Linked DNA regions of Canis lupus familiaris. The protein of the gene in region 1 purifies or fractionates together with the protein of each later gene. This does not show direct contact. Links are inferred from orthologs where the notes say so. Each region holds a gene or a part of one and is shown in the gene's direction. Other genes may lie near its edges.

What was found.
Region 2: the proteins of EN1 (region 1) and TLE1 purify together in Homo sapiens (affinity purification with western blotting; 4 studies listed by BioGRID and IntAct, with this or other methods). This does not show direct contact. The link is inferred for Canis lupus familiaris from reciprocal best matches to the Homo sapiens genes EN1 and TLE1.

Annotation. Positions count from the first base shown.
Region 1 is NC_049240.1:32,546,572-32,552,593, forward strand, and holds the start of EN1 (homeobox protein engrailed-1), read left to right. Parts: upstream 1-2,125; coding exon 2,126-3,026; intron 3,027-6,022. UniProt on the Homo sapiens protein: Required for proper formation of the apical ectodermal ridge and correct dorsal-ventral patterning in the limb.
Region 2 is NC_049222.1:78,171,706-78,177,834, forward strand, and holds the start of TLE1 (transducin-like enhancer protein 1), read left to right. Parts: upstream 1-2,493; 5' UTR 2,494-2,721; coding exon 2,722-2,745; intron 2,746-3,549; coding exon 3,550-3,650; intron 3,651-5,107; coding exon 5,108-5,171; intron 5,172-5,285; coding exon 5,286-5,330; intron 5,331-6,129. UniProt on the Homo sapiens protein: Transcriptional corepressor that binds to a number of transcription factors. Inhibits NF-kappa-B-regulated gene expression. Inhibits the transcriptional activation mediated by FOXA2, and by CTNNB1 and TCF family members in Wnt signaling.

The DNA of each region.
Region 1 (6,022 bases):
AGACGAGGATGGGGCCAGAGAGAACAGGTCCCCCGGAGCCCCACGCTAACATCCCTGAGAAGGCCTAAGTTGCCCAAGCCGCTCTGGCCACTCTCCGGGACCGCAGGCTGCGGGATACAGTGTGCACCTGGCCCTCTGAAATAGCTCGGCAGACAAACCCTGCTGGTGTCCAGCGCCTCACCTCCCCCCACTCTCCATCCTTGGCGTGGGAAAACTTTTAGGGTGCCTCGACCGACCAGGAAACAGCGAAAAAGAGCCCAGCGGACTGGAGACGAGTCTCCGTGAGTGTGGAATTGGCATGAGCCTCCGCGATCCCCCAAAGCTTGGGAAGAACACGCAGGGCTAGAGCCAGAGGCCTCCAGGGAGTTGGGAGCAAGTCCAGAGACGTCTGGGCAACCGGGTTAAACTCGTTGTACACATCGTCAGCTGGCTAGGGCAAACACTCGGGGTGCAGTGCTTTCATTGGTTTGATTTCACTTTGCAGGGAAATCTAACTGGAGGTGGCCCTGAACCCAAAAGCCGTGCCTCGCGTGCATCTGCCCTCGAACTTGCTTGGCCCAGGGGCCCGCCCTGGACAACTCTACGAGGCCCGGATGGCTTCGACTCAGGCGGCCAGGGAAAGAGGCAGGCGCCTGGTGCGACCGGCTCTCCGGCTCTCTCGCGCCCTCTGGGCTTAATGGCGCCAGGACAGCTCCCGGGGGGTTGTCGAAGGTCCGGACAGGGTAGGATAGGGCAGGACAGGAGTAGGGATACTCCGGAAAGGACACGCAATGCAGCTGGCCGGCGTGCACTGCAAAACCGACAAACAGACGGTGCTAGCTAGGAGCAAGTCGCCTCCGGGTTTGCTATTTATGAAAAAATAAACTGCTTATCTGCAAGTAACCAACTCTAGGTCTATTTCACATCTCTGACCCTCTTCGTCTCACCCCTTCCCTACACACAGACACAGACACATACACACACACGCACAGACAACATTTTACCCGTCATAACAAGAAAAAGAGAGAGAGAAAATAAAAGGCTGAGTTTCTTAGGCATAGGGATGTAAAAGAGCCGAGGCTCCTGCCTCCTGACCCTGTGCCCGGCGCGCACGCACCCATAATCCTGCATTTCTCCAACAAGTTGTTTATGGAGTTGCTTCTCTATTTGCCTACACCCCCCCCCCCCCCAAATCCACCCCTCCCTGGTCTCCTTTGCCCCTTCCTCGGTCCTGGCTTGAAAGAGGGGGAGGGGCTCGGGCTCGGGTGGGGGAGGGCGGGCCGGACGCGCAGGGCTCAGGCCGCGGCGCCCCCTCTCCGCCAGCGGCCGCCGCCCCCGGATTATTTATCCGCAAAGTCCCGCGCGCGCCCATTGGGCCGAGGCCCGGGTGTCAGCGCGAGTCCTGGCTCGCCATTGGCCCCGCACACGTGCGGCCTGACTCACGTGCTTCCGGTTTGAAGGCAAAAAGTGTGCCTGGGTGATTTTTTTTTTAAGCGAGAGAGTTTGTGCAAAGATCCGAGCTGTCAGAGATTTGAAAAAAAAAAAAAAAAAAAAAAAAAAAGGCAGCCCCGGCGCTGGCGGAGACGCGCTCTCCCTGCAAAAAAAGCAAAGGCGATTAAAGGCGCTGCCAGCCTCGCGCTCTGGGCACAGCTGAGCGTGACACTCGGGGAAGTAAAACCCCTCACTACTGCCTAGGAAGATGGCTAGACTTTAAAGACTATTTTTTCCCTTTAAGAAAAAAATTTCTTGGAGCTTTTTTTTTTTCTTTTTTTCTTGCTTTCTTTTTTTCTTTTCTTTTTCTTTTTTTTTTTTCCTTCTTGGCCGTGGCTTACTCCCCATTTAAAACAAATCATTGAATCTGGTGGCAGAAAGGAAAAAAAAAAAAAGAAATAGCCAAGTGTCTCCATATCTGGATGTCTACAAATTAGAGAGAGGGAGAGACAGCGAGATCTATCTGCTCGATAAGAGCGAGCGATCCAGGCCAGGCGCCTGGGCTTTTTTTCCTGCACCCGCCCCGTGCCTTCGCTGGGGCTCCGCCGGCCTCCTTCCTCCGCGCACCCCCACGGGCCGCTGGCAAAGTGGGGTGGGGAGCGAGGCGGGGGGGGCGGGGGCCGGCGCGGCTGCCGGGGCGGCGGGGCGGCCGAGCATGGAAGAACAGCAGCCGGAACCTAAAAGTCAGCGCGACTCGGGCCTCGGCGCGGCGGCGGTGGCGGCGGCCCCGGGCAGCCTGAGCCTGAGCCTGAGCCCCGGCGCCGGCGGCAGCAGCGGCAGCGGCAGCGGCAGCGGCAGCGGCAGCGGCAGCGATGGAGACAGCGTGCCGGTGTCCCCGCAGCCCGCGCCCCCCTCGCCGCCCGCGGCGCCCTGCCTGCCGCCCCTGGCCCACCACCCGCACCTCCCCCCGCACCCCCCGCCCCCGCCGCCGCCGCCGCCGCCGCCGCAGCATCTCGCGGCGCCTGCTCACCAGCCGCAGCCCGCGGCCCAGCTGCACCGCACCACCAACTTTTTCATCGACAACATCCTGAGGCCGGACTTCGGCTGCAAAAAGGAGCCGCCGCCGCCGCAGCTCTTGGTGGCGGCGGCGGCCGGAGGAGGCGCCGGAGGAGGCCGGGTCGAGCGTGACCGGGGCCAGACCGGCGCAGGTAGAGACCCTGTCCACCCGCTGGGCACGCGGGCGCCGGGCGCCGCCTCGCTCCTGTGCGCCCCGGACGTGAACTGTGGCCCACCCGACGGCTCTCCGCCAGCCGCGGGCGGCGGCGCGGGTGCGTCCAAAGGCGGGAGCCCGGCTGCGGCGGCGGCGGCGGCGGCGGCCGTGGCGGCGGCGGCGGCGGCGGCGGCGGCAGCCAAGCCTTCGGACAGCGGCAGCGGCAGCGGAGGCGGCGTGGGGAGCCCCGGCGCGCAGGGTGCCAAGTACCCGGAGCACGGCAACCCGGCCATCCTGCTTATGGGCTCCGCCAACGGCGGGCCCGTGGTCAAAACTGACTCGCAGCAGCCCCTCGTGTGGCCCGCCTGGGTGTACTGCACGCGCTACTCGGATCGCCCGTCCTCCGGTGAGTACCCAGCCCGCGGCCGCGCCATGTCTTTCCGCCCCGCGGACGCCCCAGGGCGCCCCGCCGCCGCCGGGCCGGGGAGAACAGACCCGGCCTCGGGTGCTCTCTTCTCTCGCGGCCGCCGCCGCCTCCTCCTCCTCCTCCTCCTCCTCCTCGCCCCCGTCCCGGTCGCAGTCGGGTGTGCCCCCAGTTCTGCGCTCCTGGCCTCTGTGGCCGCCACTCGAGAGGCTGCAGCTCCTGGCACGGGAAGCTCGAGTCCGGCTCGATCCTTCGGCTTGGAACTCCGAGCCCCTCGGGCCTTCTTTGTGTTTTTACCTTTATTATCCTTAAGAAAAACACAAACAAACCCACAACCAGTCATTGATTTTTCTTCCAGGGAGAGGGGTGTTGAGAGCCGGCGGGAAGGTGGGCCTAGTGATCGGGCTCTGAAATCCCGCCAGCCAGGTCCTGCGGAGGCCGCAATGGAGCAAGGCTCTCATCAGAGAAATAATCCTCACCTTGTGTTCATACAAACACAAATACCATGTCGATATTTTCTGAGGAAAGTTCATTTACAGAGAGCTAGATTGGAGAACACACAGAAAGAGAGAGAAAAGCCTTTGATCGCTGTCCCTCCTCCCCAGGCCGGGTAAGCCAGAGAGTCTGACCCGGGTGGGTAGAACCCAGGGAAAGATGGTGCCGGGAGCCCCCCGCTCCTGGTTCTCTGCTGCTCGCAGACAGTGGGAGAGGAGAGGAGACGGGTCAGGCTCCCGCCGGGTCGCGGGGGCTCGGGGCATGATTGGCAGCCTCCTCGGCAGCTTCTTCCTGCCACTCGCACATCCTCCGGGCCCTGCCCCTTACTTCTTTCACTCTTTTCTTCCTCGGCTCTGCCAGTTAGCAGATTTCTCCAGCTATAGGTTGTTTTTCTCGACTGCCTTAGGCCCCTTTTGAGCCTGTCCCTCGAACTTGGAGACCCCGAGGCCGAGGCGTGCGCTGGGGCAGCCCTAGGCCCCCGGAGAGGAGGCTGGGGCCTGCCCACCTTCCGGGGCGGCAGCACGGGGGAGGCCGGTGGGCTCATCGAGGAGGACGGCAGGGGTCTGGCCTACAGCTGGCGTTGCGGGCACCGGGTCCGGTAGGAGGCCGGGCACAGCGTAGCCCCGCGCCGCTCTGCTCCGGCTGGTGTCTAGCCTCCCCACGGCTGCCGGCCGGGCGCGGATCGATGCGCGCTATCAGCCCCCGCCATCTCGAGCCCCGTTATTGACACGTCGGGCTCCCTGAACCTCCGAAAAGCTGCTTTGATTGACTCGCCTGATGGATAGAGTGATTGAGCTGTCAGGCTGTGAGGCTCAGGCCGGCCGGGAGGCTACGATTTTATTACAAGTGTCCGCGCCTCTGCACACACATACACAACACTCTCACAAACGTCGGGGACGCACAACGCACAGCGGGGCCTTTCTGGAGATGTACACATCCTTGCCCGCTCAGCTAATTGCTAATCTAAACCGAGGCCGCCCTTCCTCCCCACCCCACCTCTCAGTCCTCTCTGCACCCAGCTTAGGAGCCGGCCTTGCCTTTGTTCTTGGCTGCTTTCTCTCTTCGGTGCCTGGGGAGGCAGGGTACTGGCTCCTCCTGCATGGGCAGTTCACGGAGATGAACCTCAACCCAGACCTGAGTCGCTGCAGTCAGCCAGGCCTGGACTCTTTTGTCACAGGACAGCTAGTAACCCCAGGCTCTGGTCGGCCCCTGGAGCCAGCAGCCCAGCTTGCCCTTCTGTTGCTAGGTTTGGAGATGCTGGTGAAGACCCTTCTTTCCAGACAGTTTCAGATATTAAAAGGCACGACAGGGACTTAACTTGGCTCAGGAAGCTCCCATAACCAGGGCAGGGCCCGCCAAGTAAATGCCTAAATGCTGGAGGACTTGGGTCTGAGGCTGATGGACAGAGGTTCTGGCTTTCAAAGCTGCCTCCTCTTTCCCCCTCCTCTCTCCAGATCTGGACTCCATAGCAGCTTTCTTCTCAGACTAGGTTTTGGGAGAGACTTCACCTTCTTGGGGAGGTTTGCTGGGGCCTCTTCCCATATCCATCTGTGATGCAAAGCACAGATTTCTGTCCCTGTTGTCCCTCTGTCTCTTGACCTCTGCCCATAGTTTGCTCCTGAATGGGGGGTGGGGAGGAGGGATGTAGCCTCCTTGCAAATGTCATAGATGGGCAGGGGAAGCGGATCTGGCCTGTTTTTGTTATACAGGACTTTTCAATCCTGAAAACTGTAGTTTACGTGTTCAAAAGACAGAGAGAAGAGAGACCGTGCCTGCGCAGCCGGGTAGAGGAATGGGGACAGTGGGCTCTTTCTTACTGGCACCATCCAAGGGGCAAAGCAAGCAGAGAACCCTTGGGGCCAGCCAGGGTCATGTGGGTAAGATGTGTAACTGGGTGAAAGCCTTTCCCCCTCCCTTCAGAGAAAGGGGTGCTTAGTGTCTCCCTGGGACCCTAGAAAGGGCTTCCTTTAGGCCAAAGAGAAAGGAGAGGCACAGAGAACATACGGCCGAAGATCTAGGCAAGCCCCTCACCGTCCCCTTGTTTTCTGGGGTCAATAGCTATAAGCAGATGGGGTCTTATTTTAAGTTCTGGGTGGAGGTGCACATCTTGAGAAGGCAGCTGGAGGATTCCTTTGCAGGCTGGCAATATCCTCAGGGCAGTCCTGCCCCGGTGTCTTCACTGGCCCGGTCTTGAGCCTCTTTTTATTCCAGGGCTGTGAAGACAGCAGGCCCCTGACCTCCAACTCTGGGATCCACCGGACGGGGCTCCGAATGAATGTCTCTCCATCTTGGATTGTGGGATTTAAGTCTGGCCCGCGGCTCTCTGAATTGGGGTGTGGGGTGCACAGACAGCCGTGGCCGGTTTTCCTCCGCGGCTTCTGGTCCCCCAGAAGGGGAGTCGGCCGACCCCAGCGGCCAGGCGATTGCTCTCGGGGCTGGGCGGCGGGAGGGAGCTGGGGGCGCAGCGGGGCCTCCGCTGTCGC
Region 2 (6,129 bases), on another chromosome or scaffold:
TTAAATAAAAGTATAAATGCGGCAATACTGAAGGTTCTCTGCTGTGCCGTGTATTTGGAGAAATAGACAAAAACTGGAGATTGACACAGTATGCCACATTTACTTAAAACCTCAAAATACCTTTTAGGTCAAGTTCCACTCGTAAGAATTTTAGCCACGAGGGGCTGATGGACCCAACGCTTCCCATTTAGGTCCTTACGCAGCTCCGCCCTGCCCTGGGTACCACCCAAAGGATGGGGGTAAGGGGCGGGCAGGACAGGTTCCCAGGTCTCAATGCGGGTTTATCCCATTGTCTCCCTTGTGTCTAGTAAGTGGGCACAGACTCGTGGGCGTGTTGCTGAGAGGCCCCTAAAACTCTCGGCGGCCCCCAACTCCCAAGACGGCGAATTCGGCCCAAGACAAGGGCCCGAGATTTCGCGCTTCCGCGACTGGGACGCGCGTGCCTTACCCTGGCAGCACCTCAGGGCATCCTTCCCGCCAAACGAAGGCAGGCCGACCTTTCTGCAAAGTCGTCTGAAATGCTTCAATAAAAGCCAACCGCTCCCACGTTGGGTGCAAAGGGGGGTGGGGGGTGGCCTGAGTATTAAAAGCCTAGTCTTAGCCGGCCGGGGCCGTGCGCCAGCCCACGCGCTGCCGCGGTTTCCACCGGGTGCACAGTCCACTACTCCTTCTCACGGACAGGCAGCTCACGGAAAAACAATCCTCAGAGAGATTTCTGAATGTGACCTCACTTTCAAAAGAGGAGCATCACACAAGGGCAAGCACGGAAAGACTCGTTTGGCTCGAACTACCCACCTCCCCAACCCTCCCCCGCCCCCCCTAAGAAACTGCGCGGTTAGACTCCGAGTCACTTTCACTGGGATCTGAGGATTTCCATTAAAGGGAAAAGTGAACAAGTGGCAGGATTTTTGCAAACTCGAGCCCCCGGCTTCCGCGGCGGCACGCTCGCCGGTCCCTCCCGCTCGCGCGCGCCCGCGCCCGCGCCCGCGCGCCCCCGCCCGGCCCCACGTTACTTTGATTGACAGCCCGGCCCCGCCGCTCTCCTTCCCACCGACCTTCCCATCCACGGTGCCAATCTCGGCGTCTCGCCTCTTCCCATTGGCTGCTTTCGGCGTCCCGCGGCTCCTCCGGGAACAGTTCCTCACCGAGCCCGGGAGGACGCGGCTGGCTGGGGGGCGGGGGGGGGGGGGCGGAGCGGGGTGGGAGGGGACACCGGGGAGACGGCGGAGACGCGAGCGAGTCGGGTGGGAGCGGAGGGGGGGGGGGGCGGCCCGCGCAGCGCTGCGCTACCATAGGCTGCGGGGAGGCGTCGCGTCAGCGCCCCACGTTGGGCGCCCGCGCGCGATTGGCTGGCGCGCGCTGCCCCGCCCCCCGCGGCCTCCCGGACCCACGTCCCCCGCCGGCTCTGCGCTCCCGCCCCCGCCCGCGCGGGGCTGGGCGGGGCCGGCGCTGGTTAGCTCCGGAGTGTGAAACCGCGTGTTAATGTAACCGGCGCGAGAGGCGCGGGCGGCGGCGGCGGGAGCGGCGGCTGCAGGAGCAGCGGCAGCGGCGAGCACCCTGCGCCCCGCGTCCCCGGGGCGACCGCCGGCGCCACCCCCACCCGCTCACGGCCGGCCCGCGGCGACCAAACCCCCGCCGCGACTACTCCGGACCCGCCCGCGGAGTTTGCCCGCCGGGGAGGGAGGCCGCGCGGCGGAACGCGCTCCTGCTCTTTTCTCCACCGCCTCGCGGATGTCGCCCCCCGGGTCGTGAGAGAACTTTGCGGCGGGCTGGAGCGCCCTGTGCCAAGAGGCGGACGAAGGGAAGGAAAGAAAGAGGGCCCAGGCCGGGGCTCGGAGCGAGAGTCCGGAGCGCCCGGGCCGGCCGGGTGGGGCGAGCGCGCGCGGGGCGCGGCGCCCGGATGCGCCCGGGGCTCGAGGAGCAGCGGGCGGCTGCCGCTCTGCCCGCCGCGGAGTAGCCCCGCCGGGCCCGGAGGGTTCGTGCGACCGCGGAGTCCGCCGAGTGCCGCTGGCTCGGGGCGTGCCGAGCCGCCTCCCGGCGCGCCCTCCGCACTTTCCCCGCCTCGGCGTCCTCCCGCGCTCCTGCTCCTCCGCCGGGGCTGAGGCCGCGGGGCGCCAGGCGCGGACCCTCCGCCGCCCGCCGCCCGCCGCCCGCCGCGGCCCGGGCCGTGCGCCTCGCCGCCTCCCGCAGCCCACGAGCGCCCGGTGACCCGAACGTCGCCAGGTTTGTGGGTGTGGGGTTAGCCGGGGGCGCCGGGCCACCTGCGCCTCGCCCGCGGCCGTGGCCGCGGGGAAAACCCGGAGAGGAGGCGGAGCGGGAGAAGAGCGAAGGAAGGCAGCCCGCCTGGATCTGTTTGCCCGGGACGGGTGCCGCGCACCGGGATCGCCGAGGGGAGCGCGGCCGGAGTCGCCGCCCCCCGCGTCCCCGCCGAGGCAGCGGAGGCCCACGGGCCGGATCGCAGCCCCCGCGCCCTCTTCTCGGGCGCCGGCGTCACCGGCCCGGGTGCCCCGCGATGTGGCCCTGAGCGAGGGAGCCCGCAGCGGCGGGAGCAGGAGCGGCCGGGGCGCCCCGCCGAGCGCGCCTGCGTGCGTGGCCCGCGCGCTCCCCGCGCCCCGGGTTTCGCCCGGCTTCTCGGCTTAATTTTCCTCGGCGGGATTAAAGTTGGAAATTGAGCGGAGAATTGAGTTGCCCGGAAACAGAGCTGCGGCCGCCGCCAGAGCGATGTTCCCGCAGAGCCGGCACCCGGTGAGGCGCGGCGGGGTACGGGGGGGGGGGGGGGGGGGGGCGCGGGGGGGGGGCGGGGCGGGGAGGGGATAGACGCTCGCCCCGCGCGGCAGGGGACGGGTCTCTGTTAAATTCGGGAGGACCACCCTCCCCCCCGCCCCGCGCAAGCCTCTGGGGGTGCAAGGCTGGGGGGGTCTCGGAGCCTCCCTCCTGCGCTGGGGAGGGAGCTGAAACTCCATTTTCTCCTCTGCTCTTGCCCCCCCCCCCCCCGAGTTGATGTCTAGACGGGGCGGGCGGGGGCTCCCGGGGGCGCTGGGGTTCTTTCCCGGAGCGATTTCTCCGTCCACCCCACCCCCTTGCCGAGACGGGTAGGACGCCCCCCCCTTTGTTTCTCGTCTCGCCTATTTACATGTCAATGCGGCCCCCGCTCCGGCGCGCCCGGAGGTGGCCCCGCGTCTCTGGGAACGCGGAGCGTTAGGCTGTTGTTTTTCTTCTCTGGTCCCCGGGGTCATTATCGCCCCCGTGGGGAGGGGGCGGGGGCAACGACGACGATTTGGCCTGGTTTTCCCCGGCCGCCGGGAGCCCCGTCCCTACAGCCTGTGACCCGGGCGCACGCACCGAGCACCGAGGAGGCTCCAGGCCGGGCGAGGGTCCGCTTTCTCCTTCCATCAAGCGCAGAGCAAACTCGAGTTCAGGGCTCGGTTTTCCGCCACTTCTAACTTTATTTTTTGTTTACGTCCCGCCCACTTGTGCTTCCTCTGCCTTCATTGTTTGTCTGTCTCCCCGCATCCCTGTGCCTCGATTCCCCTCGGCGGCCGCCCCCAGACGCCGCACCAGGCTGCAGGCCAGCCCTTCAAGTTCACTATCCCGGAGTCCCTGGACCGGATTAAAGAGGAATTCCAGTTCCTGCAGGCGCAGTACCACAGGTGCGTGTCCGGCCAGGACAGGCGGGCGGGCGAGCGGTAGCCCCGGGGGCAGCCCCGGCACCTCCTCGCCCAGCCGGGGGCGGCGGCGGCTGTACTTAGTCCTCGCGTCCAGGCGGTGGCGTGTGGAGTCGCAGTTAAGACCTGTCATTCATGTTACCCTGTTTCCAGGTTATTCCTGGGCCGTCTCTCCTCTAATCTCCTCCTACTACCATTGTTTCCCTTTTGCCGGTTTGCTGCTGTTACAGGGAGCCTTTTTTTTTTTTTTTTTTTGAGTATTTAGGAGTTGCATGAGAACCGTCAATATTTGCACTTCGTTTATTTATTTTGCAACAGGCTGAGCTGAAACCTTGGTTCAATCGATGCTCCAACCCTGGAGTGCAGGTTTAGGGAGGCAGAGCCAGTGTTGAAATCGCTCTTTGCCATACCAGGGGATTGTGTTGTCTGAGACAAAGTCCATCATGGGAGACCAGGTGCTGTTAGCTGTGCCCATCACTGGTGATGGGGGGGGGAGGGGGGGCGTTAGGTGCAGGAGGAAGCTCCCCTGCCTGGCGTCGTCATTTTGGAGTGGTTTGGGAAGGACAGGGGACCGCAGTCTCATTTATATAAATCCTGGCTTAGTCTCTTCACCTAACTGAGACCTACTTCAAAAGGTTTATAAGTGAAAAGTGATTGTAAAGCGCCCTGTCCATAGTGGATTTTCCAGAACTGTTAGTTTCTTTCCCATGTTCCAGTGAAGTCTTAGCTGATTAGAGCTAAGAAATAACTCTGTAATGACAGCCCTTATTTTGGTCATGCTTGAGAAAAAGTGCACAGATGCTTGGGTGTGAATTTTCTTATTTTGTCAGAGGCTTTTCTGATTGTTGACCTTTTGTCTGCTTGAAGATAATAATCTCTGGAACTTGAGGCATACCTGCTCACACTGTGTTTACCAAGCCGGGAGTAGCTACTTAACATATTTTGGCAGGGATTTAAAAACAAGATTTCAAAAGGGACCAACAATTGTAGAAGTAACTCTAGAGTATAGTTTTTAAATTTGGAGACTGTTTGAGTTGGCATAGATGGGACAGCCTGTGTCTGATGCTGAAAATTGTGCAAAGGCCAGATTTTGGTGGAATCCAGAGGAGCAAACTGGTCCAGGGAAGTAGGAGTGAACAGATGAACAGGAGGAGGATTTGGTCTTCTGAGTAGATCAGGGCTTTTGACAGATTTTTCATTCTTGGCATCTGACCAGGTATGCATCAAGAAGAAAAATAATAGTAGCTGAGTGGAGACGCTGTACTGTTCACCTTATTCCCTTTCCCTATTAAATGCAAGGACAAAGCTTTTGCATGTTTACCTAGATAGTTTATGGCTTTTCCAAATTGGTCTGTGTTTTTACTTGAAGTGCAAATATGTGAGGCAGATGTTAAAACAAGTGACATAATGTTTACATTAAGTTGCCTGTTTTGTTTTTGTAGCCTTAAATTGGAATGTGAGAAACTGGCAAGTGAAAAGACAGAAATGCAGAGGCACTATGTGATGGTAGGTATCAGAGATTAGACTTCTTTCTTTTGCATGTAAGATTAGCAAATACGTGTTCCTAGCATTGCAAAACATGAATTAATGAAATGCTTGATTTTTTTTTTCTTTTTGCAGTATTATGAAATGTCATATGGATTAAACATAGAAATGCATAAACAGGTAAGCTCTATTGAAATCTCGAGTTGAAATGAGAAATCAGTCATTATGATTCTATAAAACTGGCTGTGTCCTCAGTGGTCGGAGGGGGGGGGGGGGGGGGGAATTTGTATGCCCTTAGTTTCTTTCCCTTCCTGTGAATTGGTGGTAGTGTTTTGCAGCAAGAGTTGCTTCTTGACAATTACAGAATCTGTAAGTGACTAGGTGAGAGGTGCTTTGGAAATGTGACCCAACCTGTCTATAGGCTGATAGAAATTGAGTCTCTGAGTTGGCTTTTCTACCTGGATAGATTTATTCTCTGCTTGAAAGATCTGGATATCCCATAGAGTTCTGAAATTCAGAGTAACTTAACGTTTTTTTGCCGGTTGGAACAGCAGTGTGGTCCTGCGGGTGGAGGGGAAAGAAGGATATTCAGGAGTTTCTTAAGCAGGTTAAACATTGTATATGACTAACTGTGGGGTTCTCGTCTTGCTTCGGGGTTGCATAAAGTGACATTCAAGATTAGTGGCTTATTAGCAAACATCTTTTTGAAAACTTTCTCAATTGATGCAGATTTGGAGGTGAAAAAGCATTCTTTTATGGCCACAGCATATGTTGGGAGTCGCTTCAGTCCTAGTGGTTTTAAAAGCATGAAAAGATTAGTGACTGGAAAGCTCTAGCTATGACTATGAGTTTGCAAGTTCCCATAAAATTCACACTTATGGCTACTATAATGGTGTATAAAAAGAGTATTGAGCTGGAACAAGGCACTAAGGACCTCATAAGAGAAGAAAAGCTAAATGATTGCTCAGCCCAAAGGACC